Saccharomyces cerevisiae S288C: one gene and its partners. The gene in region 1 interacts genetically with each later gene. Each region holds a gene or a part of one and is shown in the gene's direction. Other genes may lie near its edges.

What was found.
Region 2: mutations in FRQ1 (region 1) and ERG25 together harm fitness more than expected from each alone (negative genetic interaction), as found in Saccharomyces cerevisiae (2 studies listed by BioGRID).
Region 3: mutations in FRQ1 (region 1) and SEC7 together harm fitness more than expected from each alone (negative genetic interaction), as found in Saccharomyces cerevisiae (2 studies listed by BioGRID).
Region 4: mutations in FRQ1 (region 1) and STT4 together harm fitness more than expected from each alone (negative genetic interaction), as found in Saccharomyces cerevisiae (2 studies listed by BioGRID).

The regions. Positions count from the first base shown.
Region 1 is NC_001136.10:1,220,860-1,223,838, forward strand, and holds FRQ1 (frequenin), read left to right. Parts: upstream 1-1,899; coding exon 1,900-2,472; downstream 2,473-2,979. Other genes in the region: CTS2 (putative chitinase), read left to right, coding at 1-89; VPS74 (Vps74p), read right to left, coding at 253-1,290; PHO92 (mRNA-binding phosphate metabolism regulator), read right to left, coding at 2,615-2,979.
Region 2 is NC_001139.9:608,953-612,029, forward strand, and holds ERG25 (methylsterol monooxygenase), read left to right. Parts: upstream 1-1,611; coding exon 1,612-2,541; downstream 2,542-3,077. Other genes in the region: septin SPR3, read left to right, coding at 1-149; ADE6 (phosphoribosylformylglycinamidine synthase), read right to left, coding at 2,937-3,077.
Region 3 is NC_001136.10:796,221-804,117, reverse strand, and holds the start of SEC7 (Arf family guanine nucleotide exchange factor SEC7), read left to right. Parts: upstream 1-1,895; coding exon 1,896-7,897. Other genes in the region: YDR170W-A (gag protein), read right to left, coding at 1-923. UniProt on the Saccharomyces cerevisiae protein: Guanine exchange factor that acts as an activator of ARF1 at the trans-Golgi network and is thus involved in vesicular budding and traffic between compartments of the Golgi apparatus.
Region 4 is NC_001144.5:737,835-745,867, reverse strand, and holds STT4 (1-phosphatidylinositol 4-kinase STT4), read left to right. Parts: upstream 1-2,004; coding exon 2,005-7,707; downstream 7,708-8,033. Other genes in the region: chitin deacetylase CDA1, read right to left, coding at 1-248; NEDD8-conjugating protein UBC12, read right to left, coding at 1,017-1,580, 1,715-1,717. UniProt on the Saccharomyces cerevisiae protein: Acts on phosphatidylinositol (PI) in the first committed step in the production of the second messenger inositol 1,4,5,-trisphosphate. STT4 functions in PKC1 protein kinase pathway.

The DNA.
Region 1 (2,979 bases):
TGAGAGTTAAAAAATATTACTTGAATAAATATGGCGATGGCGGATTTTTATCTCCATATTTAAAGCATTTGGATTCAAGAAAGCAATGAATACGAATGTGGGCGTATATAATAACAAAAAGTTTGGTCTATTTATTATCCACTCCGTATATGTATATACATATATACAAATTTCGTTTATTAATGTTAGAGGCTTATAAAAAAAAGCTTGACTTTTCCTTATGTTTCAAAGAGAGGATTTTTGTTGTTATTTTCATAATAGCATATCCATTCTTGAAAAGACTTCAAATACACCAGCAATAACTTCCAATTGTAAATCATGACCAGGATTGTTTTCTATCTCTTCTTTAACTTCCTTGTTTAAATTAACGGAGACACCTAACTCAGTTTCCTTTTCTAAATCAAATGGGTATTGCGAAAATTGTGCCATTATTTCTTCAGCTCTACTAATTGCCTTATCTCTCTTCTCATATTCCAACGTAGTCAGGACATTCTCCAATACGTTTGCCCCATATGATCCACATATTAAAGCTAAAGTTCTAATGATTTTGAAAGATGTTGTCTCCGGAAAATATTCATTGTAACTTAATTCCATGTTCCTCGATACGAGTACAGAAAGTACTCTGCGCTTAATGGCTTCTTTGCAGCTGGCGTCTGCAATGGGGTGTGTCGCCATGTCAAACAAAAAGAAATTTTTCATTTCTGTTCTCAATACACCTTTATCGACCAAACCTTTTGCCAATCTTTCCCTTACTTGTTTCAATTGATAGTTGATCTTTAAAAGGTTCCATGTTTCACCACTTAAAAGATCAATCCAGTTAGAAATTGACAAAGGTTCGTCGTTTTTCATCAATTGCAAAGTTTCATCCAGTAAAACTTCCCCAGTTTTGGAACTGTCAATAACTTCAATCAACCTTTCGGAAAGATCGAACCTTTTCCTGGCGGAATCATCTAAGATTCTGATTTTACCTCTTAACGCTAATTCTATAATTATACAACCACGCAAAGCATATGAAATACTATCATTCCAAAACGACAAATATCCTTCTCTATCTCTTAAGCCCATCAATAAGACTTCTTCCATCAACGTTAACGTAGGGATATTGATGTTGTCTCTCAATTTCGATTCTTCTGGGTCATATGCAATCTTTTTGTTTGTTCCATTGTCATCATCCCCGTCAACAGCAATATTTGCGATTTTGTCTCCTTTGGTATTGTTAGCAGAAGAATGAATGGAGGAAGTATCTCCAGAATCCGCCCTATTGACTCTACGACGTTGTAAAGTAGACATGATTTTTGCTTTGTATTTTTTTAGATAGTTTTTGTTTGAATTCTTTTACGTTATCAGATCAAAAGTTGTAATGAAAATATAGCCAACAATGAAACTGCTAATTTAGCTCTATTTGTTAGCGTGGAAATTTGAAATTTATTTTTAATCTATAAATGCAGCAGCCCAAACCGAAACAAAAGAATAAGTGAGTTGAACAGAGTAAGCAACGGGCCGATATAGAACTGAAAAAGTCAACGTACCCAGAAAGCAATTAACTGCGACACAAATAGATGTCAATGTCCAAAAAGGATAGATAAACAAGATTACGATCCAAGGCAGGGATCTAATTGTTTTTAGGTAAATGCGTACCCATTAGCCTCTTTTTTTCAGTAGTAGTTGACTGCTCAGGAAGTAAAAAAATGAGCCAGAATTGATCATTAAAAACGAAAAAAGGGTAACTCTTCGGTGTATTTTTTATTATTATACCATAGAGTACTGAAATAATGTTTAATTTGTCAACGATTGAACTGATGAACTAGGGATATTACCTCCTGTTTTATAATTGTTGCTAGTTTAAGAATCGGCGAGAGTTATTTTGTGCTTGAAAACTGTTTTTGATTCAAAAAAAAAATGGGAGCCAAGACGTCAAAGCTTTCCAAAGATGACCTGACATGTTTGAAACAATCCACCTATTTTGATAGAAGAGAAATCCAGCAATGGCATAAAGGATTTTTGAGGGATTGCCCTAGTGGCCAACTAGCTAGGGAAGATTTTGTTAAGATATACAAACAGTTTTTTCCATTTGGTTCTCCTGAAGATTTTGCTAATCACCTTTTTACAGTTTTTGATAAAGACAACAATGGATTCATACATTTTGAAGAGTTTATCACAGTTTTGAGTACAACGTCCAGAGGAACTTTGGAGGAAAAACTGAGCTGGGCTTTCGAACTTTATGATTTGAACCATGATGGATATATTACATTTGATGAAATGCTAACCATTGTGGCGAGTGTTTATAAAATGATGGGGTCTATGGTTACACTTAATGAGGATGAGGCAACGCCCGAAATGAGGGTAAAGAAGATCTTCAAGTTGATGGATAAGAACGAAGATGGTTACATTACGCTGGACGAATTCAGAGAAGGTTCTAAAGTCGATCCCTCTATTATTGGTGCCTTAAACCTTTACGATGGCTTAATATGAAAACTTTGTTTTTGCTTCTTATGGATTGGATGTTATAACAGTAGAAGTAATTTTAGGATAATTTTAAATAAAAATAATATTAAAAATAATAATAATACTAATAATAAATGAGAATAAAATGTTGATAAATGAGGGATAAGGTCTATTCATACGTCTCATCCAAGAAGGAGAAAATATCAGAATCTTGAGTTTTAAATAGATTAATTATTGAAATTCCAATCGAATATGGAATTTCTTGAGTATCTCTGGAATGTGTTATCGGTTTCATTTCATTGGATGGTATCAAAAACCTTTTTAACGATCTGTTATTTATATCACGCACGATCACCCATCTTACTTTAAAGGCTTTGCCATATTTTTGTTCATCTTCCCATATACTGGTGTCCAAATCCATTTTCAAATCCGATACCATTTCTGCAACGCCACAGAATCTTCCTGATGTGTTGATTGAAAAAAATAAAAACACTTTGGCTCCCGAATTAAGCTTTTTATATGCCTCAGATAGCC
Region 2 (3,077 bases), on another chromosome or scaffold:
TTAACCAAGAGATTGAACAATTGAATCACAAGTTGGAAAACTTACAACTGGAATGTCAGGACTTGGAATACAAGCTGTTAATCGGAAAAAGTTCCAACAGCCATTCCACAGATAGTGCTACTTTAGTAAACGTTCACATCAAAAGGTAGTATTAATTAAAAAAAAAAAAAAGCCAATAATTTCGCGCAAGCTTTGCTCTACATAATAAAAATACAATTAGGATAGAAATGAATATTTTTTTAGCGGCAGTTTTACCATAAGTAGCAAAACCCTAACAATACAATGTGAGACTAAAGTAAATCCGGGTAATACAAAATACAATTTTTTTTTATTCTTCACAGCGTTTTTTCGACGGAGGAGGGAAAAAAAAAAATTGTATTTAAGGCATCAAATGCGCGACATCATATACCTTTGTCCGCTGTTATCATACCTTGAACCTCTACATTTCAGCCTAGCGCGCGCAAAAAGAAAAAAAAATCATAAGCAAGAGTGGTACGGTAACCACAAGGCAATGCAAAGAAGGGTGCGATATCAAGTGATGTTACCTTCCTTTACTTTTTGCCTTTTTCTTGAATTGTCAATCCGCCCTTTTTTTCTTTTCAGTTTTTTCTCCTTTCATCCGTCTCGTTTATCATAATGATGATTTCACTTATACCTATATGTTTTTTCTGGCATCTCTAATGTTAGGATGTGAAGTTTAAGTACTCTCCATTCAATGAATACAATTTTTGACAATATCTGATTTTACTATGATTAAACAGACCGAGGGAGAAAAAAAAAAGGAACTAAAAAAGGGCCTACGTAGAAGATGATGTAAAAGTAGATTCGCATCTGAGAATGTTTTCTTCAAATTTTTCTTTTCGGCCTTGGCGCAGAAGACTTTCTCTTCGTCCGCGTCGTATAGGAAACAAAAAAGTGTAAAAAGTAAAAATCGGTATATTACGCAATCCATTCGTTACCCGGTGTAGTCACGTGCGGGTGCGGAGGGCAGCCGTTTAAACCCGTTTGGGCCTTGGTCCGATAGAACCATCTCGCAGGAAAGAGCAGAGCCAGTTATCGGGTGTCGTTTACGCCCAGATGTCGTTTAGCCAGCTCCGCAACGGCCACTGCCACTACCACTGCCTCCCTTCGTATACGGGACACAGAGATCGTATACGGTAAACGACTAGCACTAGGACAATAGCAACTAACAATGACCGATAACAGTCAGCAACCTCAAGGCACCTGGCACAAAACCGTCGAGGAAGAGGCCCTTTGCCACCGTATCGCATCGCTTTCCCACCAATTTTTTTTTTCTTGCTTGCCTCGCCTCTGCTGTGGTCGTATTATTATTATTCATTCTCTGCGCAGTTTAAACTATATACACACGATTAATCCGTTATGCATGTACATTTTCTTGTATGCGTACGCCTGTGTATGCATACTTCTATATAATATATAATACAGGAGGATCTATTCTTTTTTTTCTTCTTCTCTTCTTCTCTCCCTTTTTTCTCTCTCTTCGTTTCTTTCCTTCCAGTAAATCTTTATATTAGTTGTAACTTTTTCTCTTTAGATAGTAGCATAGAGGACTAAGGAAAAGTAGTACAGCCATAAAAAAAAGAGGAAAAGATGTCTGCCGTTTTCAACAACGCTACCCTTTCAGGTCTAGTCCAAGCAAGCACCTACTCACAAACTTTGCAAAATGTCGCCCATTACCAACCTCAATTGAATTTCATGGAGAAATACTGGGCCGCATGGTACAGTTACATGAACAATGATGTTTTGGCCACCGGTCTAATGTTCTTTTTATTGCATGAATTTATGTATTTCTTTAGATGTTTGCCATGGTTCATCATCGACCAAATTCCATACTTTAGAAGATGGAAGTTACAACCAACTAAGATTCCAAGTGCTAAGGAACAACTATACTGTTTGAAATCCGTTCTTCTATCTCATTTCTTGGTCGAGGCCATCCCTATCTGGACCTTCCACCCAATGTGTGAAAAATTAGGTATTACTGTCGAAGTTCCATTCCCATCTTTGAAAACAATGGCTCTAGAAATTGGTCTATTCTTCGTCTTGGAAGATACATGGCATTACTGGGCTCACCGTCTATTCCACTACGGTGTCTTCTACAAGTACATTCACAAGCAACATCACAGATACGCTGCTCCATTCGGTCTTTCTGCTGAATATGCTCATCCTGCTGAAACTTTGTCTTTGGGTTTTGGTACCGTTGGTATGCCAATTCTTTACGTCATGTACACTGGTAAATTACACTTGTTCACTCTATGTGTATGGATCACCCTAAGATTATTCCAAGCTGTTGACTCTCATTCTGGTTATGACTTCCCATGGTCTTTGAACAAGATCATGCCATTCTGGGCTGGCGCTGAACACCACGATTTGCATCATCACTACTTTATTGGTAACTACGCTTCCTCTTTCAGATGGTGGGATTACTGTCTAGACACTGAATCTGGTCCAGAAGCTAAGGCCTCCAGAGAAGAAAGAATGAAGAAGAGAGCTGAAAACAATGCTCAAAAGAAGACTAACTAAGAGAAGAAACATACTTCAAAAAAAAAAAAAAGAAAAACAACAAAAAAACGTATAAAATGAAATAAATTTCGAACCGCTTTTTTTCCTTTTTTTTTTTTTTACTTTGTTTGACCTCCCCTAACTCTTTCTTTTTACCTTCACAATTGTTTATTTTAATATATGATTTTTAAATTAATTCAGGTTAATTCTAAAAACTATATTGCAATCTTTTAAATATATGTATACACGTTCATTACCACGTATACATATCCATATATATATATATATATATACATACTATTTATGATAAATTTTTAACAAGCAAACCCATTATTAAATGCTATAAATAAAAGACAGCTTCTTTCTAATTATTATTCAAACTTAAAAACTACATATACAAAAACTACAAAAATCTTTCAACCGACCCATCTTCTGGCAGATCTGAATAATCTAATCCATGGACCGTATCCACCCCACTCTTCGTATTTGCCCTCTGGATACCAGGAATTGGCCTCCAATCTGCAAACTCTTTCAGGATGTGGCATCATGGCAAGCAC
Region 3 (7,897 bases), 420 kb from region 1:
ACCTTGTTATTGATAGGAATGCCATTGTTTTTTAGTCTGTCAAGAATGTTTGTGACTTCTGCTTCAAATGCATCTGCAGGTGTACTTCCATTATAATGCAAATTTGCTAGGGTCGTAATGTCATTTACCTCTTGAGTATCAGACTGCATTTTGTTAATGCTTTTGGAAAGAATTTTCATGATATCTGTATAATCAACAGATAAGATGTCTTTAACCCAGGTGGGTAAGAATTGAGATAGAGCAAATAGTTGAAAGGTGTGACATAAGAAGGTGAGTTCGTCATCAGTCATCTGACGTACGGCTTTTCTTGTTGCTGTCGGAATAATATCACCGAGATTCGAATTTTGTAAAAATTTGATGTATATTTTAACCCAATTTAGAAAGTCATTAGGTGAGGTTAAGATTGGCGGTGGTCTGACATGTTGATTAGTGGATGTCATATTAGACTTTGCTGAGGATGAATCAGGAAATGAATTACCTGACTCAGGTGACGGGGTGTTCAAATGTGTTCCAACATATTGTGGATATTGTGTAAACTGTGATTGTGCTCCAGGTGGAGCGTACATAGGTGACATTTGATAAGGTGGATACGGCATCAAAGATGGGTGCCCGTATACTGGCCAACCAGAAATATTGGCTTGTTGGGGAGTCATCATTCGCTGCTGTGGGTACGGCCCATTTTGTGGCAATGGTACTTGAGCAGCTTGAGGAGAGGCATGATGATGGTTCTCTGGAACAGCAGCTGAGGGAGGTGTTGTTGGCTGTTGAGAATTAGCCTGAGTGAAAACCTTCTCACATTCTTCTGTTTTGGAAGCTGAAATGTCTAACGGATCTTGAGTTGTTTGGACTTCTTTAGAAGTAACCGAAGCACAGGCGCTACCATGAGAAATGGGTGAATGTTGAGATAATTGTTGGGATTCCATTGTTGATAAAGGCTATAATATTAGGTATACAGAATATACTAGAAGTTCTCCTCGAGGGTCAGGAATCCCCATAATGGAATCTATATTTCTATATACCAATATTACGATTATTCCTCATTCTGTTTTATATGTTTCATTATCCTATTACATTATCAATCCTTGCACTTCAGCTTCCTCTAACTTCGATGACAGCTTCTCATAACTTATGTCATCATCTTAACACCGTATATGATAATATATTGATAATATAACTATTAGTTGATAGACGATAGTGGATTTTTATTCCAACACTATGTGTGTATTGTGTGTGCGTGTAATATAATCATTTCTAGTCATCTCTAGTCAAAGTAACTTATAAAAGCCTAAAAAAGGAGGATTTAACATGAATTGTCGGTCCTATAGTGTAGTGGTTATCACTTTCGGTTTTGATCCGGACAACCCCGGTTCGAATCCGGGTAGGACCTCTTTTTATTTTTACTCTAACAAATCAACATTGATATTTTTTGTTGATGTGTTAGAGTGGAGCCAACGATGCTCTTAAGATATACACTTTAGTACTTTTGAAGCTCTTACAGTTTTTTGATGTCGGAGAAGGCTTATACATATTGTTATTTTCCCTCTACAGGAAAGAAGGTGAACGTTTAGTTTTTATCAAGGCGCCGAGTAAATTTTATAATATCGAGGCGAGGGAAAAACAAAGCAACGAGAAAGGAAGCTCAAAGTTGGGATTTACATCATTTCTTTAAAAAGCATCATTGGCTTCTCTCCAATTGTTCAATAAACGCAGACTAATAGAAATTGAAGTCATTTTCCGGAGAAATATAAAATATTTTCTGCAACTAAGCTATACTCGATTTCTTTTAAGTTTCTCCAGAACCAATAAAAAGTAATATCTTAAACTGTTTCTTTCTCATTTTTTCCCCGAATTCCATTAAAGAAGATAAGAAACAAGTCTAAGTGCTACTATATCTGATGTCTGAACAGAATTCAGTAGTAAATGCTGAAAAAGGGGATGGCGAAATATCTTCAAATGTAGAGACTGCTTCTTCAGTCAATCCGTCTGTGAAACCACAGAATGCTATTAAAGAAGAAGCTAAAGAGACAAATGGTGAAGATCAAAAATGCAAAGGGCCAGAAAACGCTGGCAGTACGGCAGAAACAAAAGAAACAAGTAACGACGCTACCAACGGAATGAAAACGCCCGAAGAAACGGAAGATACAAATGACAAACGCCATGACGATGAAGGTGAAGATGGAGATGAAGATGAAGATGAAGATGAAGATGAAGATGAAGACAATGGGGACGAGGATGATGAGGACGTGGATAGCAGTAGTTCCGAAACCAGTTCCGAAGACGGGGAAGATTCTGAATCAGTCTCAGGGGAAAGTACTGAGAGTAGCTCTGGAGAAGATGAAGAATCTGATGAAAGCGATGGAAATACATCAAACAGCTCCTCTGGTGATGAAAGCGGGTCAGAAGAAGAAGAAGAAGAAGAAGAAGAAGAAGAAGAAGAGGAAAATGCTGGCGAACCAGCTATCGCTCATCAAGATAGTGTTCCCACCAACGATTCTACTGCCCCAAGGTCTACCCATACGAGGAACATATCACTATCTTCAAATGGTTCGAACACAAACTCAACCATAATTTTAGTGAAAACTACGTTGGAGACAATTTTAAATGATAAGGACATTAAAAAGAATTCGAATGCTCAGAAGGCTATCGAAAGGACATTACAAAAATTTAAGGAATTTGATCCGCAAACCACGAATAACCCACATTACGTGGATTCAATACTAGTATTCGAAGCACTAAGGGCAAGCTGTCGTACCAAATCCTCCAAAGTTCAAAGTTTGGCTTTAGATTGCCTGTCAAAATTGTTTTCTTTTAGATCGCTAGACGAGACCCTGTTAGTGAATCCACCCGATTCTTTAGCCTCTAATGATCAACGACAAGATGCTGCCGATGGAATAACGCCGCCTCCAAAACAAAAAATTATAGACGCTGCAATTGATACTATTTCAGACTGTTTTCAAGGTGAAGGCACTGATGACCGTGTGGAACTACAAATCGTTAGAGCTTTATCTAGTTGCATTTTAGAAGAGGATTCAAGTTCTTTATGCCACGGTGCTTCCTTGCTAAAGGCTATCAGAACAATCTACAACGTTTTCGTCTTTTCGTTGAACCCATCCAATCAAGGTATTGCACAGGCGACCTTGACACAAATTATTAGTTCGGTGTATGATAAAATCGATCTCAAACAAAGTACCTCTTCAGCAGTATCCTTATCGACAAAAAATCATCAACAACAATCCGCCATAGAACTTTCCGAGGCTTCTGAAAATGCAGAAACGCCGGCTCCTTTAACTCTGGAAAATATGGATAAGTTGAATGACGATGAGGAAAGACTAATGGACGCTCAACAGCCTGATTCTATCGCCATAACTAACCAAGATCTAGCTGTTAAAGATGCGTTCTTAGTGTTTAGAGTCATGGCGAAAATATGTGCTAAACCTTTGGAAACAGAACTCGACATGAGGTCACATGCCGTCAGGTCAAAGCTTTTATCTCTTCACATCATTTACTCTATTATCAAAGATCATATTGACGTATTCCTTTCCCACAACATTTTTCTACCAGGAAAGGAGCGTGTGTGCTTTATCGATTCAATTAGACAATATTTACGTCTTGTTTTATCAAGGAATGCTGCCTCGCCTCTAGCTCCAGTTTTCGAGGTTACTTTAGAAATTATGTGGCTATTGATTGCTAATTTGAGAGCAGATTTCGTGAAGGAAATTCCAGTTTTTTTAACAGAAATCTACTTCCCCATTTCAGAATTAACCACTTCCACCTCCCAACAAAAGAGATATTTTTTAAGTGTTATTCAACGAATTTGTAACGACCCAAGAACTTTAGTTGAATTTTACTTGAATTATGATTGTAACCCTGGAATGCCAAATGTAATGGAAATAACTGTTGATTATTTGACAAGATTGGCTTTAACTAGGGTGGAAATTACTCAGACTCAAAGATCATACTACGATGAACAAATATCAAAATCCCTGTCCACCTACAATTTCTCACAATTGCCCCTTTTGACTTCTTCCAACTTGTCTTCTAGTCCTGATGTTGGTCAAGTCAATTTACTTTTTCCACTTGATTTTGCTCTCAAAATGGTGTCACTAAATTGCATTGTGTCAGTTTTGCGTTCCTTAAGCTCATGGGCTCACAAAGCTTTAAATCCAAACACACACACTGCTAATAAGGTATTACTAAACACAACATCTTCAGCTCGTCAAGAATCTAGATCATCTTTGAGTAACGACGTAAGGTCTTCTATTATGACAAGTAATGATGACTTCAAACCAACATATGAAGACGAAGAAAGCAGATCATTGAGCAGTCAAAACATTGACGCAGACGACCCCACACAATTTGAAAATTTGAAACTAAGGAAAACTGCTTTATCGGAATGTATTGCTATTTTCAACAATAAACCCAAGAAAGCTATTCCAGTACTTATTAAAAAAGGATTTTTGAAAGATGATTCTCCAATTTCCATTGCCAAGTGGTTATTAGAAACAGAAGGCCTCGACATGGCCGCTGTTGGGGATTATCTAGGCGAAGGAGACGACAAGAACATCGCTATAATGCACGCATTTGTTGATGAGTTTGACTTCACTGGTATGTCCATTGTTGACGCATTAAGGTCATTTTTACAAAGTTTCAGATTGCCTGGAGAAGGTCAAAAAATTGACAGATTCATGCTGAAATTTGCGGAAAGATTTGTGGACCAAAACCCCGGAGTCTTTTCAAAGGCGGATACTGCATATGTGCTTTCGTATTCTTTGATCATGTTGAATACTGATTTACATTCGTCACAAATCAAAAATAAAATGTCTTTACAAGAGTTTTTAGAAAACAACGAAGGTATTGACAACGGAAGAGATTTACCAAGAGACTTCTTGGAAGGTTTGTTCAACGAAATTGCTAACAATGAAATCAAGTTAATTTCTGAACAGCATCAGGCAATGCTTTCAGGTGATACCAATCTTGTCCAACAACAGCAATCTGCTTTCAACTTCTTTAATTCTCGTGATTTGACAAGAGAGGCATATAATCAAGTCTCAAAAGAAATTTCATCTAAAACGGAATTAGTCTTTAAGAATTTAAACAAAAATAAAGGAGGCCCAGACGTCTATTATGCTGCTTCCCACGTTGAGCATGTTAAATCAATTTTCGAGACACTATGGATGTCCTTTTTAGCAGCTCTAACCCCCCCATTTAAGGATTATGATGACATTGACACAACCAATAAGTGTTTAGAAGGCTTGAAAATATCAATTAAAATTGCTTCTACTTTTAGAATCAATGATGCTAGAACCTCCTTTGTAGGTGCGTTAGTCCAATTTTGTAACCTTCAAAACCTTGAAGAAATCAAAGTTAAAAATGTCAATGCAATGGTAATTCTTCTTGAAGTCGCGTTATCAGAAGGAAATTACTTGGAGGGATCGTGGAAGGACATTTTGCTGGTCGTGTCTCAAATGGAAAGACTACAATTGATATCCAAAGGTATCGACAGAGATACGGTTCCAGATGTTGCACAAGCTCGTGTTGCAAACCCTAGAGTTTCTTACGAATCATCAAGATCCAATAATACATCTTTCTTTGATGTTTGGGGCAAGAAGGCAACTCCCACAGAATTGGCTCAAGAAAAACACCATAATCAAACCTTATCACCCGAAATCTCTAAATTCATTTCCTCCAGTGAATTAGTCGTTTTGATGGACAATATATTTACCAAAAGTTCCGAGTTATCAGGTAATGCTATCGTTGATTTTATCAAAGCTTTAACCGCTGTATCTTTAGAAGAAATTGAATCATCTGAAAATGCTTCCACACCAAGAATGTTTTCCTTGCAAAAAATGGTCGATGTATGTTACTACAATATGGATCGTATCAAACTAGAATGGACGCCGCTTTGGGCTGTTATGGGAAAAGCTTTCAACAAGATTGCTACAAACTCTAACTTAGCAGTAGTATTTTTCGCTATCGATTCCCTGCGTCAATTGTCTATGAGATTTTTAGATATTGAGGAATTATCAGGTTTTGAATTTCAACATGATTTTTTAAAACCTTTTGAATACACGGTTCAAAATAGTGGCAACACTGAAGTTCAAGAAATGATTATTGAGTGTTTTAGGAACTTCATATTGACAAAATCGGAAAGTATCAAATCTGGCTGGAAGCCTATTCTTGAATCCTTACAATATACGGCTCGCTCAAGCACTGAATCCATTGTATTAAAGACGCAATTGCTGGTTAGCAATGATATTGTGACAAATCACTTCGAAAACGTATTCTCTCAAGAAGATGCCTTTTCTGAGTTAGTTGGTGTCTTCAGAGAAATCACCAAAAATAAGAGATTCCAAAAGCTATCTCTACATGCTTTGGAGTCTCTAAGAAAGATGACTCAGAACGTCGCAGACATCTGTTTTTACAATGAAAATAAGACTGAAGAAGAAAGAAAACATAACGATGCTTTACTTCGTGGGAAAGACATATTCCAGGATGTGTGGTTCCCTATGTTATTCTGCTTCAATGATACGATCATGACAGCTGAAGACTTAGAAGTTAGATCACGTGCATTAAACTATATGTTCGATGCCCTAGTGGCATATGGTGGTAAATTCAATGATGATTTCTGGGAAAAGATTTGTAAGAAGTTACTATTTCCTATTTTCGGTGTATTATCCAAACATTGGGAAGTCAACCAATTCAATAGTCATGATGATTTAAGTGTTTGGCTTTCGACCACGTTAATTCAAGCCTTAAGGAACTTGATTGCCCTTTTTACGCATTACTTTGAATCGTTGAACAGAATGCTCGATGGATTTTTGGGTCTGCTGGTATCCTGTATTTGTCAAGAAAATGACACTATTGCTAGAATTGGGAGATCCTGCCTGCAACAATTGATATTGCAAAACGTATCTAAATTCAATGAGTACCATTGGAATCAAATAGGTGACGTATTCGATAAATTGTTTGATTTAACCACTGCTAATGAATTGTTCGATTATGATCCGTTACAGCAAGGAAGAAAATCATCTGTATCTCATCACCAAACAACTAATGATACCAGCCAACACTCAGATGATGATAGCAACGACAGAAGGGAGAACGATTCTAATATCAGTGAGACGGTCGAAAGAGCGCATCAAGAAGAATCCAGCGAAGACGTTGGTGGTGACATGGTTGAAACACTCAATGGGCAAACTAAGCTTAATAATGGCAATTCCGTTCCGACGGTAAAGGACGAATTGAATCCAAAGCCCGCTAGTCTAAGTATCCCCAAGAAAACTAAGCACATGAAACGAAACGAAAGTAACGAAGATATACGTAGGAGAATAAACATCAAGAATTCTATTGTTGTCAAATGTGTTTTACAGCTTTTGATGATAGAGCTGCTCAACGAATTATTCGAGAACGAAGATTTTGCCCACTGTATCCCTTACAAGGAAGCCATTAGAATTACAAGATTGTTGGAGAAATCGTACGAATTTTCTCGTGACTTTAATGAAGATTATGGGTTAAGAACAAGACTAGTAGAGGCTCGTGTAGTTGATAAAATACCAAACCTGTTGAAACAAGAAACGAGTGCTGCTGCAGTTCTCCTTGACATTATGTTTCAGTTGTATCTGAACGATGATGAGAAGAAGGCTGATTTAATAACTCGTCTGATCACCATTTGCATCCAGGTCGTAGAGGGTTATGTTTCTTTGGATGATAGAACCATGGAACGTAGTATCAATGCCTGGCGTTCAGTGATAGTTGAAATATTACAAGGTTACTACGAATTTGATGATGAAGACTTTAGACTATACTGTCCTGCTATGTATGCTCTGGTGATTCAAATATTAGATAAGAGCGTTCCAACGGAGTTGAGACATGCTATAAAACAATTTCTAAGCAGAGT
Region 4 (8,033 bases), on another chromosome or scaffold:
CACTGGCCAGGATAGTACCTATCTAATTCTGGCACTTCAGTAAGATTTATGTAATCTAGCGGAATATAAGGTGGGTCAATTCCAGGCCATTGTGTAAGATTAGTAAATTCTGTTAACCACTCTGGAAAGGGCGTTTGCATATCTACTTCCCCCATCAATGCGGTACTCCCATTTGACGCAAGGCAATTTCCCTGTTTTAGAAAAAATGCTGCGAACAGCACAGATTGTATTGTATTGAAAATTTTCATCTCTTTTCTTGTGTAAAAGTAAATCTATCACTTAATTTTGTTTCTCTATATTCCACTTTGCTTACTTCTAAGCATCTACTTTGTTAGAACTATTGGTCTTTTTGAAAACACAAAAGTAAATCAACCCACTTGTTGGTATTTTTCTCTTTTAATTGCGATTGAATGACGGCCGGTCCGGAAAATGTGACATCTGGAAAAGAGAAATGTTGAAGCTGCTTCCAAGTGCATGAGACAGAATTTTTTTTACAGAAAATAGAAAGCGTTATCTTGTTAAATATTACTAACTAGTATAGTCATTCATTTTTTTCTTCCATAGTTGTAATATCTTTATTTTTTGTAAGAATTAGCGATAGCTGAGATTGCGTTCTTCAACTTCCTGCTCTCTCTTAGTCTTCTATCCAGGGTATCTCACCTTCCTGATTATCTTGTCAATAGCCATGGCTTCGCTGTTTCTTTATTATAAGAAGTATTTTTTGTTTTCTTCAAGAAATTTTTCGTATTAATATCTTTATGTTTTGTTTGCCTTTACTGGCCAGAAATTTTATACTTATTTTGAATAGAACACATTAAGTTCTACAGGTACCTGCAAAATATCGAGACAAAAGTTTGAACGAGAATATAAGGAATGTTGGTCATAAGGCGTAAACTAACAGAAGATGGCGGTAGCAAGATGTTACCAAGGCGACAACTCGCCTAGTATGTCACAATTATCTATAATTTTATTGTTTATATATAATCAAATCAACCGAAAATTACTCTGAACTTGACTCAAGGAGAAACTATGTTATCATATTTGACATGTTCAATTGAACCTCCAGACATGGTCAATCTCACAGCTTCAGCAAATTCTTTCTCACCCTCACACAGTAACTTTGCTGCATCCTTGTTTAACGGGTCATTGGGATTAGGCTCCAAGAACAAGAAAAGAAGCCCGGTTATAATACTCTGCAAATCTAGAGCTGGCGACCAGTCTTCTCGAAGAATATTTAGGCAAACGTTCCCCTTTAAATCGATATTTGGATGAAAGATCTTCTTCAAACATACAACTTTTGGTGGTTCAATCGGATAAACTTCGTTAAAATCCAAATTGAAATTAATAGATCCATAATTATAATATCCTTCATCAGGCCTAACAATTACCTCCAATTTCGGCGATTGTGATCTATCCGCACTATCTGGTGATGTTATTACATTCAAAGTCACTGTTGGTGGGAGGTCCAGCGAATCAAGGTCCCTTTTCAAACGAATTCTTGCTGCCGATAAATTAGGCTGAATAGAACTGCTGTTTTCATTTTCTTTTTGCTTTTTCTTTTGTAATTGGCGTAATTTCAACTATTTGAATAAAGCCAAGAATATACATATCCAGTACACATATACATTCTCACCCCCCAAAAAGATTATGTTAGTATTTTCGATCGCTAAAAACCGCCAATGAGAAACGGAAAGATATAGTTGCATCTACGTACCATTTTTATTATCTTGTTTTATATTCTCTAACTGATTCTTTAATGTCTCTAAGTACATTTATGAATGATTGGCCTTTTTCATCTCATTTTACCTTTTGGCTGATATCATCAAACGGCACGCGCAGGGATGAAGGTACGTTAATAGTATTTTTTTTTTTCAAGAATACTGCGAAGATGTTTGAGTTGTGGGAAAAAACATATTCAACATTAATAACTATTGTAAATCAAGAAAAAAATTAGATCACAAAAAGATAACTACAGCAATCGAAAACGCCACTCGTTTAAGGCAGATGAGATTTACCAGAGGATTGAAAGCCTCTTCATCTTTAAGAGCGAAAGCTATTGGAAGACTAACTAAACTTTCGACGGGTGCACCAAATGATCAAAACAGTAATGGTACAACATTAGATTTGATAACTCATACATTGCCTATTTTTTATTCCACAAATACGTCAAAGATATATACTATACCACTTACATTGAGTGAATGGGAAGTACTAACTTCGCTTTGTGTTGCAATCCCTACCACGCTCGATCTGGTAGAGACAATGCTTAAAGAAATAATTGCGCCTTATTTTCTGGAAACTCCAAGACAAAGAATTTCAGATGTTCTGTCCTCGAAATTCAAGTTGGAACAGATGAGAAATCCGATTGAATTGCTAACTTTCCAGCTGACTAAGTTTATGATTCAAGCTTGTGAACAGTATCCCGTTCTTTATGAAAATATAGGCGGCATCATTTCAACTTATTTTGAGCGTGTATTAAAGATTTTTACTATTAAACAATCTGGTCTACTATCATTAGTGGGCTTTATTAATGCATTTATCCAGTTTCCCAACTCTACAGAGCTTACTAAATTCACCTGGAAAAAGTTAGCGAAACTTGTGCTTCGTGGATCATTTCTAAACGAAGTTGATAAGATTTTGAATTCCTCAGCAACGTTTACCAATGATTCAATCGTCCAGTATTACGATGCTGGAAATGAGCTATCCAGTGCCTACTTATTGGAATTAATATCTCGCTTGCAAGTTTCGCTAATATCTCATCTGTTAAACACTTCACATGTCGGCGCCAACTTGAGTGAGTTCTTACTAAATCAACAATACCAATTTTACAAATTTGATCAAGAAGTAGCCGATGAAAACGATGATACGAAGTGTATTGATGACTTTTTTTTCAACGTAAGAAGCAATAAACAGTTTTTTACAGACATGTGTAAAATTTCCCTGCAATTTTGTTCTGAGTCACATATTCTCGACCTATCTACAGACAACCGTGCAAGATTTTCTTTTGATACTCGAGCCCACTACCTACAAACGCTATGTTTAATTCCGTTTATAGAAGATACAGAAAGCGAGCTTTTTGAAAGTTTTACAAACGTTGTTTCTGAATCTATTGATAAATTTTTCTTATCTGATGTCGTTACACCATCTTTGATAAAAGCAATTGTAGCTTCTGCCTCATTACTGAATTTTTTCACGGAAAAATTGTCATTAACTCTGATTCGTATGTTTCCTTTATTGGTAGCGTCTCCACATATCACGACTGAAACAGTTAATGATGTTGCAAAAATATTCACCACAGGGTTATACCCTCTAAATGAAGATGCAATTGTGAGTACAATTTATTCCATGAACAACTTATTAGCTGTTTCCGAGGACGGATCGCCCGTCCCGGTGCTCCGTGAGCGCCAATTAACAATAACATCTGGAAAAAATATTGAGAAAGACTACTTTCCCTTGCGAAATTCATCTGCCAGTTTGGATGGCACTGGTGCTCTGCTCGGAAATACAACTGTGGGCCAACTTTCCTCCCATGATGTCAATAGTGGAGCTACTATGACATACCATGCCTCTTTGATATCTAATTGTGTGGCTGCAACGACTACAATCGCCTCATACTATAACACCCAAAGCATAACAGCTTTGACTATCTCTATTCTTACGCAAAAAGTTAATTCTATGTCAAAGGAATTAGACGGTGTTATTTTGAATTCTTTGGCAAGACTGGCTCCGAATACTTCACTGACAGAATTTTCGCTTTTACTAAAGTTCTTCAAATCGAGAACTGTTATTGCAACAAAAATTGATGATAGCGCACTATTGAAAAATATTATTAAAGCGAAATGTGTGATATCAAAAGAATTGTTGGCCAGGCATTTTTCAAGTGACTTATATTTCATGTATCTTCATGATCTATTGGACTCAATCATTGCCAGTGGGGAAGTAGAACGATTGGAACATCACAGACCTCAAACGGAGATTTCCCGTGTTGCTGATCAAATCGCTACCTACTTAGAGCCCCTCGCCGCTCTACTACCTGTTCCAGGCGATACGCCATTGGACATCAATAAGGATGAAGTCACTACAAACAAGTTTAGGAACGCCTGGTTTAATTTTGTCATCCATGGGTACCACTTGGGCGGGCCTATTGTCAAACGAAATTTTTCTTTCTTATTAACTATTGCCTATAATTCACCACCGCTGGCTTCTGAATTTCCTGCTAATAACAAGGAGCTTTCATTGGAAATGAATACAATTTTGCGCCGCGGTTCATCTAACGAAAATATCAAACAACAAAAACAGCAGATAACCGAATATTTCAATACCAATATTGTTCAGTACAGAACAACTTCATCGTCTAAAATCATGTTTTTAGCGGCTGCCGTTCTTCTAGAAACGATAAGATGCGAGGCAGGTGATTGTTCGAAGACTCTACTGTACTTCTCAGACCCCTCCATTCTTTCCGGTTCAATTGAGAAGTGTATTGCAGTTTTGTCGGTTTCCATGATTAGAAAATATGCTAGGTTGATTCAAAAGGGTAACGATGCCATATTCAACTCCAAAATGATTGCTCAACAACTTAATAACTTGCTACTTTGCCTTTCTCATAGGGAACCAACTTTGCAGGATGCCGCTTTTCATGCCTGTGAAATATTTATCAGATCTATTCCATCATCGTTATGTCATCATTTGTCTCTCTACACCTTATTAGATATGTTAACAGCCCTATTTGATAGTATCTTGGACTCAGAGGCGCATAAATTTGAACCACGGTATGAATTTAAATTAAAACATTCTAAGACAACAATATTGGTTCCAAGCTCATCGTCCTGGCGCGCTACGACACTATCAAGATTGCACAAGTCAGCTAAAGAATGGGTAAGAATTCTATTGAATAGAAGCAACCAGGATACTAAGATTTTGTTGCAATCATACATATCAGATCTCGGTGAGTACAGCAGGCTAAATTCTGTTGAATTTGGTGTCTCATTTGCCATGGATATGGCTGGTTTGATTTTACCTGCAGATAAGGAATTATCAAGGCTTACTTATTATGGTCCAGAGAAACCTAACACGATTTCTGGATTTATATCTTTACATTCTTGGAGGTCAAAATATCTTTTCGATACCGCTATTACATCATCACCAGAGGATATCAAAAGGCAAATAGGTATTTCCACTCAAAACATAAGAAAAAATTTGACCTTAGGAAATAAGATTATAACTAAAGACGTAACTGATTTTCTTGATATGGCTACCGCGTTGTTAATTCTTGGCAATGGTGCACCAGCGTCATTGATATATGATATTGTGCACATCCCGTTCGAAGTCTTCACCTCTGCATCTTTAAAGATTGCTACAAACGTATGGTTAACAATCATAACTGAGAAGCCCGAAGTTGCACATTTGCTTTTAGTTGAAGTATGCTATTGCTGGATGCGCTCCATTGATGACAATATTGGTCTCTATTCTCGCGATCATGACTTAAAGGGCGAAGAATACCAAAAAATGGAATATTCCCCTTACGACAAAGCAGGTATCAACAGAGATGCAAAAAATGCATCCCAAGCTATGCAACCACATCTTCATGTTATTAAATTTTTTGCTTCCCATTTCGAGGGCACACTATTTCAAAGTGACTTTTTATTGAAAATTTTCACGAAATGTGCGCTTTATGGTATCAAGAATCTGTATAAGGCTTCACTACACCCGTTCGCTAGAATGATTCGCCACGAATTATTGTTATTCGCGACTCTCGTACTAAACGCAAGTTATAAGCAGGGATCCAAGTATATGGGCCGTTTGTCGCAAGAAATCACAAACGGTGCCCTAAGTTGGTTTAAAAGACCAGTAGCGTGGCCATTCGGCTCAAATGAGCTGAAAATCAAAGCAGATTTATCTGTTACTAGGGACCTTTTCCTTCAGCTCAACAAATTAAGCTCGCTAATGTCACGTCATTGCGGGAAAGATTACAAGATCCTGAACTATTTCTTGGCAAGCGAAATCCAGCAGATTCAAACCTGGCTTACTCCGACTGAGAAGATTGAAGGAGCCGACAGCAACGAGCTTACAAGCGATATCGTTGAAGCTACCTTTGCTAAAGATCCAACATTAGCAATAAATCTCTTACAACGATGTTATAGCAAGAAAGCTGAGGATGTTTTAGTGGGCTTAGTTGCAAAACATGCTTTAATGTGTGTGGGGTCCCCAAGTGCTCTTGACCTGTTCATAAAAGGAAGCCACCTGAGCAGTAAGAAAGACCTACACGCAACCTTATACTGGGCGCCAGTGAGCCCGTTAAAATCTATCAACCTTTTCCTTCCCGAATGGCAAGGTAATTCTTTTATCTTACAATTCAGCATATATTCGTTGGAATCACAAGATGTGAACTTGGCATTCTTCTATGTTCCTCAAATCGTACAATGTTTGAGATACGATAAAACCGGATATGTCGAAAGATTGATTTTGGATACTGCGAAAATTAGTGTGTTATTTTCTCATCAAATAATCTGGAATATGCTTGCAAACTGCTACAAGGATGATGAAGGTATACAAGAAGATGAAATCAAACCAACTCTAGATCGTATTAGGGAGCGTATGGTTTCAAGTTTCAGCCAATCTCATCGCGATTTTTACGAACGTGAATTTGAATTCTTCGACGAAGTAACTGGCATATCTGGTAAGTTGAAACCATACATAAAAAAAAGTAAGGCTGAAAAGAAACATAAGATCGATGAAGAAATGAGCAAAATTGAGGTGAAACCTGATGTTTATTTACCTTCTAATCCTGACGGTGTAGTTATTGATATTGATCGGAAGAGTGGTAAGCCACTTCAATCTCACGCAAAGGCGCCTTTTATGGCGACCTTTAAAATAAAGAAAGACGTAAAAGATCCTTTGACAGGTAAAAACAAGGAAGTTGAAAAATGGCAAGCTGCTATCTTCAAAGTCGGTGATGACTGTAGGCAAGATGTTCTAGCGTTACAATTGATCTCGCTATTTAGAACCATTTGGTCTAGTATTGGCTTGGATGTCTACGTTTTTCCCTACAGAGTTACTGCGACGGCACCGGGTTGTGGTGTCATCGATGTGCTACCCAATTCGGTATCCCGTGATATGTTAGGACGTGAAGCTGTTAATGGATTATATGAATATTTCACTAGTAAATTTGGTAATGAATCTACTATCGAATTTCAAAACGCACGAAACAACTTTGTTAAATCCTTAGCGGGATATAGCGTAATTTCGTATTTGTTGCAATTCAAGGATAGACATAATGGTAACATTATGTACGATGATCAAGGACATTGTCTACATATCGATTTTGGGTTTATTTTTGATATTGTCCCAGGTGGTATCAAGTTTGAAGCAGTACCATTCAAGCTGACGAAAGAAATGGTTAAAGTGATGGGAGGTTCGCCCCAGACCCCAGCGTATCTGGACTTTGAAGAACTTTGTATCAAGGCATATCTAGCCGCCCGTCCGCACGTGGAGGCCATAATTGAGTGTGTAAATCCTATGTTAGGAAGCGGTCTCCCCTGCTTTAAGGGTCACAAGACAATTAGGAATCTAAGAGCAAGATTTCAACCTCAAAAAACCGATCACGAAGCTGCACTATATATGAAGGCGCTAATCCGTAAAAGTTATGAAAGTATATTCACTAAAGGTTATGATGAATTCCAAAGGCTCACAAATGGCATTCCGTACTGATATACTTCGCACTTTACATATGCTTATATAAAAATACCAGTTTCCCATCGTCAATTACGCAGACGTAGCCTTCGTTTATTTTCTCTCTTTTTGTATATCATTGTATTAATCATAATCCATTGTATTTTACTTTGTCTTATCTGGCTTTAATGAATGACGCCGGTCACACGCGGGTGCCTGATTCTCGATTGTGCCAAGCCATTTGGGCACGGTGTCAAATTACCTAAAAAATGGCCGAGAGCCGCAAAAGGGAGGTCCGCGGGGCCGGGCAATACCCTTTGTTTTTCGAGCATTTCGGCGCCGAAATCGGCAAAGGTCCTGACCAA